2 linked regions of the Daphnia pulex genome follow. The protein of the gene in region 1 binds, or shares a complex with, the protein of each later gene. Links are inferred from orthologs where the notes say so. Each region holds a gene or a part of one and is shown on either strand. Other genes may lie near its edges. The genes, in order: probable actin-related protein 2/3 complex subunit 2 and actin-related protein 2/3 complex subunit 4.

Evidence for each region.
Region 2: probable actin-related protein 2/3 complex subunit 2 (region 1) and actin-related protein 2/3 complex subunit 4 share a complex: the UniProt entries of both Caenorhabditis elegans proteins name them as parts of the arp2/3 complex. The link is inferred for Daphnia pulex from reciprocal best matches to the Caenorhabditis elegans genes arx-4 and arx-6.

Annotation. Positions count from the first base shown.
Region 1 is NC_060024.1:1,047,748-1,051,640, forward strand, and holds probable actin-related protein 2/3 complex subunit 2, read right to left. Parts: upstream 2,479-3,893; 5' UTR 2,332-2,478; coding exon 2,258-2,331; intron 2,194-2,257; coding exon 2,100-2,193; intron 2,033-2,099; coding exon 1,933-2,032; intron 1,859-1,932; coding exon 1,724-1,858; intron 1,663-1,723; coding exon 1,390-1,662; intron 1,326-1,389; coding exon 1,096-1,325; 3' UTR 961-1,095; downstream 1-960. Other genes in the region: phenylalanine--tRNA ligase beta subunit-like, read left to right, coding at 1-37, 103-477, 545-746, 809-960; uncharacterized protein LOC124201224, read right to left, coding at 2,819-3,040, 3,289-3,414, 3,486-3,893. UniProt on the Caenorhabditis elegans protein: Functions as actin-binding component of the Arp2/3 complex which is involved in regulation of actin polymerization and together with an activating nucleation-promoting factor (NPF) mediates the formation of branched actin networks.
Region 2 is NC_060028.1:5,631,659-5,635,136, reverse strand, and holds actin-related protein 2/3 complex subunit 4, read right to left. Parts: upstream 1,964-3,478; 5' UTR 1,792-1,963; coding exon 1,789-1,791; intron 1,604-1,788; coding exon 1,485-1,603; intron 1,425-1,484; coding exon 1,217-1,424; intron 1,087-1,216; coding exon 916-1,086; intron 853-915; coding exon 847-852; 3' UTR 661-846; downstream 1-660. Other genes in the region: mitochondrial carnitine/acylcarnitine carrier protein-like, read left to right, coding at 45-224, 327-432, 502-583; uncharacterized protein LOC124209792, read right to left, coding at 2,411-3,167, 3,225-3,478. UniProt on the Caenorhabditis elegans protein: Functions as actin-binding component of the Arp2/3 complex which is involved in regulation of actin polymerization and together with an activating nucleation-promoting factor (NPF) mediates the formation of branched actin networks.

The sequences.
Region 1 (3,893 bases):
TTTAACTGCCACCGTGGAAGGAACTGGTTCCATTTCGGTAAAAAAAATGTAATGGTTAAATTATAGGATTTTGAAAATTCATGTAAAAATATTCCCTGGCAGGTTGAAATACCCCCCACTCGTCATGATATCATTCATGCGTGTGATGTCTATGAAGATGTGGCGATTGCTTTTGGATACAATAACATAACCAAAACTCTACCGAAAACTAACACCATAGCTTCACAGTTTCCCCTAAATAAGCTGTCAGATCAGTTGAGAGACCAGCTTGCTCAAGCCGGTTTCACAGAGGCTCTCACATTTTCGTTGTGCTCGAAGGAAGACATAAGCGAAAAGCTGAGGAAACCTCTGAACTCCGTTCCTGCAGTTCATGTTTCCAATCCGAAAACTTTGGAGTTCCAAGTAGCACGCACGACCTTACTTTCAGGTTTGCTCAAAACTATCGCTGCCAATAGGAAAATGCCTTTGCCCATGAAGGTAAAACCTATTTATTTAATAAGATAAGTTATAAAAGTTGTAAAACATATGGTTTCTGTTCTTCAAGCTATTTGAAGTATCCGATGTGGTAGTGAAAGACAGTCAGCGAGATGTTGGAGCTCGTAATTGCCGCAATCTGTGCGCCGTTTATTACAATAAGTCGCCTGGATTTGAATTAGTTCATGGTTTACTAGATCGCTTAATGCAATTGTTGGAAGTTCCACTGGATCAGAGTGGCAGCAAGGGATACTTCCTGAAACCATGCGAAGGTTCATTTCATATACTGCATCAATATTTTGATTACCTTCTTCTAAAGCTATAAAATTTACAGATGCAACTTTTTTCCCCGGACGATGCGCCCAAATCATTTTTGCTGGCACTGTTGTCGGAATCGTCGGAGTCTTACATCCTGATGTTGTGACATCCTTTGATTTAAATCTTCCATGTTCAGCTTTGGAGTTGAATATTGAACCGTTTTTGTAAGCAGTTACAAGAAATAAATGTGGTCTGTCATTAATGAGAAGCTAGTGTATTATTGAAAAATGTGAAACTAAGCGTTACAATTTAATCAATGAAGAAATCCTAATTAGGTAAACAGGGAAAATGTGCATTTAAACATCATGGAGTACGAATGAAAGTACGGCCGGTGATCGTTTTCTTTTCCACCGTTTTTGGTTCAGGTCGAGCTCGGTTTAATACTTTCAAAAAATCAGAAGTTTTGGCTCTCATGCGTGAATGAATGTAGGCTTTGCTACATTTGATGTGGTAGTGCAAATAGTCACGGAAGAGATGAATCAAATTAATGGTATTTTCGCGGACGTTTTTGTTCGTATGCCGTGGAAACAAGACTAAAAAGAATTATGACATAAATTTTACAGAAATCCATGTGTAAAAATAGAAATGATTTCATACCAAATGTAATGTATCCAATATTGTCACCAATTTTAGCATTTGTACTTTGAAGTTCCAGAGGAGGTTCTCGGTGAGAAAAAAGAACTTGTGGGGCAGTGTGAGAAGCTCGGCGACCTTCGCGAAGTTCTTGTAAGAAAACTTTACCTAACACAATATCATCCTCATCACGGAATACAGTGCTGAACACTACTGTTACTCTGTCTGCCTTAGCTTCTATGTACAATGTCTCTTCATCACGATAATTGATAACTGCTCTCTTGTGCCCTTCTTCACCTTATTAGAAAAGAAAAATTATAGAATTTCAGAGTATTGCTTTTGCTCATTATTTTTTTACCCTTTTCCTGAAATTCAAAATACTTCTCAAAAACAGATGCAAAGCAATTTCTTTTCAGCAGTCCAATTTTTTTTACTATTTCTTCCCAATTGCCAGGTATGTTATCCAAATCCAAAACAAGGGAAATATTGTACCCTTCAAAAAAAAAAAAGGATAAATAAACAAAGAAGATAAATAAAACCTTTTCACCAATAGGATATTACACATACCATCTTCAGCTTGACATAGTAGGTTCCCATATTCTCTTTTTAGTAACTCATCAGCACCATGTTCCTGAAGGTCTTTATAGAATTTCAGTGAAATGCTAACCTATAAAAATAACAATTAATTAATCCTGCAACATTTCATTTATAAGGTTTTCTTTCTAATAACTTACTCGAACTTTGGATTTATCAGAATCAGGGTTGGCAATATGAAAAAGAACCCCATCGAAATCAGCAATGACTACATTTACGGAATCCGGTTTATTTCTATACAAATTAGGAATAATATGTTTCGTAGCAATTCAAAAACAAATGTATATAAATTATTTACCCGGCAAGCGAATTTTTTATTTTAACTGTAAGGGTATCTTCAACAATTTTGTTATTTATTTCCAGAAGAATCATCGCGACGAAATGTGAATGTGATGACTTGTATCACAAAATTAAACAAATTTCAACATAGTCAGCACACAAGGAAATGTTAATGTTATCTGTCACAACTCACAAGACAACCACAAAAGAAAAGGGAGTGGACTTGCCGTTTGCCAGATTTCAACAAAGCAGGTGCGGTACGCAAGCACCAGCATGGTGTCATAGACAAAGACCATGGTTGTTGATATAATGGTTCCCACTGTCTGTGTTATAAGGTCCCATAAGGCAGCTGATTTTTTTGTGATCTTTGGTTACTGCGACAGCCCCGCGACCTGGTGTTGGAAGGGTGGAAGCTTACACTGAAACAACACAGAAATTTTCTAAGTCCCTCGTAAACAAATCAGAGCTATGCGTACTTTGCGCATCCGTTAAACAGATTGATTGACGATTTTCTAATTAAGATTAATTTCAGATGATAACAATAGATTTCATTGGTTCAATTTATAACTTGTAATGTGTATTAACGGCAGTCAGTGGAGCTTAATAACTTCCTTATGCTTTCAAGACTCGGAAGTGGTAAAATTCCATTTGCTTTCAAATGTCTATATGTCTTGCTGCTTTTAAGTCGAATTTGAAGACAATGCATCAAAAATAAAGGGTCGTAACGCATTCCTTTCTTACAGTTATCTTTTCCCGGTTTTGCTTTAGCTTTGTCCATCATAGTTTTCACGATTAACTGTTCCTGATAGAGATTTGAAAAATCTATTAATAAACTGATATATGATATGGTCTTTAGTAAGTATGGAATGTCATTGTCAATCGTCTGGAATATTATTTTTGAATAGTCTTGCGAATAAGTTGGATTTCACAAATGTGAGGGTTGGAATAAGGAATGATATCTCTATCGAAATAATTGGAAAACATTGGTCAAATAGGGAAGCATACATATAGTCTAGTCATGAGGTAATTAAATTAGTATTTCATTGTTACCGTAGGACTCAGGCACTTTAGTTTTTCGTCAAAGTTATTCTTTTTCTGTTCCTTAATCAATTTTTGGTTTGTAATAGTCAAAGTCTGCTTTTCTTTTTCTAAATTTGACACAATTCCAGAGACCAACTAAAATTACAAATAGAAAATATATTAATAGTAATCGTATGTTAATTTATGAATAACAAAAAAATAATTACTTTTCCTTGTTGGAGAATTCTTCTCATTGCTAAATTTCTCTTTTGCTGTTGGTTTTTCTTTTGAATTCCTGTCCTCTCAGCCTTACAACCTAATTGTTTCTTGCGAGTCATCAGATATTTCTTAAGGAATTTGCAATTCAAACAAACATTGTTTTCAGTAAGTCCTGTGCACCGGTTAGATCGTATGATTTTTCCGTCTTTCACAGCGCTACATCGGGACGTCACACAAACATTCGCTAGTGATAGTTCAACAATTCCATCACACACATTGCTTACTTCCACGGCACCAATAATGTTAGATAAATCTTCAATTACATTGAAATTAGTCTTAACATTACGGGGAAATATTTGTTTTCCATTGAGGAACAATTCCACCTTATTCATGGAGACAACTGAGATTGTTTTTAT
Region 2 (3,478 bases), on another chromosome or scaffold:
GAAAATTTCTGCAACTACAGATGAACTCTCTTTCGATTTGGTAGATGTTCCAGCCAGCGGGATCTATTTTATGACCTATGAATGGCTCCAGGTTGCACTTGCACCAGAAAACTCCGACGGGAAATTAAGCCCAATTCGGACAATGTTTGCCGGTGGAATGGCAGGAATCGCCAACTGGATTATTGCCATCCCACCGGATGTACTGAAGAGTAGACTACAAACAGGTAATATTTTTTAATAGAATCAGATATTAGGCTATTAAATAAATGAGTTAAGTGAAAGGTAATATGATAACTTTATATCTTCGATTATTTTCCCACTTGAAGCTCCCGAAGGAACGTATCCTAATGGAGTGCGTGACGTCTTTAAAGTGTTGATGCGCGAAGAAGGTGTTCGAGCTCTCTATAGAGGAGCAGTTCCAGTGTTTCTTAGGTAATAGGGACATATTTAATTAAATAAGAATTTTTGATAACATTTTTTAACGTCCATTTTTCTTTAAAGAGCCTTCCCTGCAAATGCCGTTTGCTTCTTAGGATTTGAAATGGCTTTGAAGTTTTTGAACTGGTTAGCTCCTTCTATCTAATTGCGGAGCACTGATATTGTTCCAAGTAGATATTATCAAGAAATATGCACACTCCAGTTTGACTAAATACAATATAGTTTTCTGTAATATTTTCATTTATTATTTTTTGAGCTTGTGCATGAACTCAAACTAGGAGTTATCTGATTGTACACAAGTCGGATCATTTTACTGAATTAGCTTGGCTTGGAAACAGGTTTTTATGCAAATAAACTTGGGAATTATCTGGTCTCAATTTTCTTCCAGTTATCCAATAAATTCTCGAATTAAAACTATTAAAAAATGGGAAATGTTAGTCGGTAATAACTGATGAAAAAATTGACAGTAAAACACACCCGCTTTAAAAACTCCTCAGCGCACACACGGGCTCGTGCGTTGACGGCCAATTTCATTTCGCTAATTTCTTTGTCTATCTCTTCCATGAAGTGGATGACAAAATCCACTAATTTATGTTTGTACATGGCTTCAGTATGAAAATTAGTTATCAAGAAACTTATGTCATAACCCTAGAGAAATTATCAATGTATAACAACATATTTTAGAATATTTTAAAAAGAGTTTACCTTAACAACATATTTTAGAATATTTTAAAAAGAGTTTAACAACATATTTTAGAATATGTTAAAAAGAGTTTACCTCAACAGGCTTTCGTCTCAAAACAACAAAATTTTCTGCTCGCATCATCATGAACCTCATAAATTTGTGGCAAAGAATTTTTTCAATTTCATCAGCCTGTTTGATAGAAATGCTAATCCGAACAGAATTAATAGAGGCTTCTATCAAGACTTTTTCTTTCTCATTTCTTGAAATAACAACTGGATTCAGTAATAATTCCTTGCTTGTTCTATGTTTCAAAATAGTATTTATTAATGTTTACTCAATTTTTTCACTCATTTAACCTTACCTGACTTCCACTTCAGGTTTATTGTGTCTTTCAACAACTTGGGAAGAAAAGTTTTCCAAACACATTGCAGCTTCCAGTGTACTTCTAACTGCGGACAAGTAAGGCCTCAAAGTTGCTGACTAAAAATGACAAAATATTAATTATACGTGTACACATAAGACGATAGGAATGATAAAAGGAAGAGGGTGTGGTAAAGTGTTTGAAATGTGTTTTTGTCTGATGAGTTCAAAACATAATATTTTCAAAGTTCTTTTTGGATTAGCTGGGTTTGAATCACAACACAGAAGTTTAAGAGCAAACTAACCATTTTTTGCAATTTGCACAGCTGAAAAGCGTAGAATCTTAAGATAGTTCAAGAATATGTTCCACGGACACTATTTAGGCCCTACTCAATTTAGTGCTTTCTTTGGCTTTTTTCAGTGGGGTGGGCCGGATCTGTCAAAAACCGCAATTTTTTAAGATAACATGGGAACCGACGAAGAATGGAAACAGTTCAATCTGCTGCCAGTAGAGGGCCCGTATTAAATAAAGCAAAAAAATCAATCAATCAATTTCCTTTATTCAAGAAATTTACCGTGAGATCACAGATCACAAATCAAGCCGAATATAAACAAGTTTTAGTCCTTAGGGGTTTCGTAAATATCTTTGATCTAAGACTTGTTGTTAGTTTGTTATATATTACTTGTATAGGTAGAATTGAAGATAAGTCTATAACTAAACTTTTGTTTTGTGTGTTTTTTTAAGGGAGCGTTAGAAATGATATATGCAGATAGATATCCGCTACGTGCAGTCGATGCCGGTATATTTGTTTTATTTTGAGAAATAATAGGTTAACAAACATAGAATCAAAGTAACGATTGCACTAATTTGTTGACGATTGCACTAATTTGTTGCACTGATTTGTTGATGCAGCACATATCACCATATCAACTGTCCTTTTCCATTGGAGATGAAGAAGCCCGACAAATGAAAACCAACGTTTCTATTTGGTATTTATCAGCTGCCTCCAATAGAAGTAAATTAGGGGTAGAGTCGAGTATGCGGCCATTATAAATAAAGAACAAAATTTGTTCGAATATGCTTGGTGTAATGTCGCTGATGTCAACACACCCAGTATTCGCCTCGAGCATGTCGTGGGAAAACATTGCGGCAAAAACTGGGCTCCGGGCGGCCAAAATCCATCGATGGGCATGAAAGATACGCCCAGAGACGAGCAACTGAACATCGGTGGTCATGCCATCCAAAGCGGAACGCCAAAGCTGAGTTGGGCAAAGACTGTCCTGCAATTCGTATCGATATTCCTCATTATCCGCTTGTTCGATCGTCACACAGAACGTGAACTGGTAACATTTGTATCCATTTGCAACGGAGAAATTGCTTGTGAAGACCAGATTTTTATTAAGATCCATGTTGTGTTTCTTCTGTGAACAGGGATCCCATCTGTTGAAGTATGAGACACCAACCACTCGACTGTTTCGACCAGTAAAAAAGTATAGGTCGAACTCGCTACAATTTGTATATGGGATGATACGTACACACTGAATACCAACGCCGAACCACATACCGTCCTTTGATTTATTAGAGAAAGTTGTGCGATTCAAAGTTGGCAACTTTTTCAACGTCCATGAATATTGCATTACGACACCTCCTTTCGTTAATTGTGAGTTCACGTCAGCTTCACATCTAAAAATATATCAATTTATGGTTTATGAAATTTAAATGAATTAAATATAAGAATACTTCGTGACCATTTTTTCCATTGTTCCATTTGCGGTAAATTTAGGAAGCATTTCATCTACGAAGTATTTCTTTGCATACGTTTTCATATCTATGAGATAATAATCACAGTCATCTAGTAGACCAGTGTAGAGAAAATGAAGAAATCTTCGGAAAGTAACAGGATCTTCATCCAAAATAAGTTGTTCAACTGCAGCATCTTTTATTTTTGCCGTCAAAGCAGGGCAGCGAGCGGCCAAAACTGATTTGTGGACTGG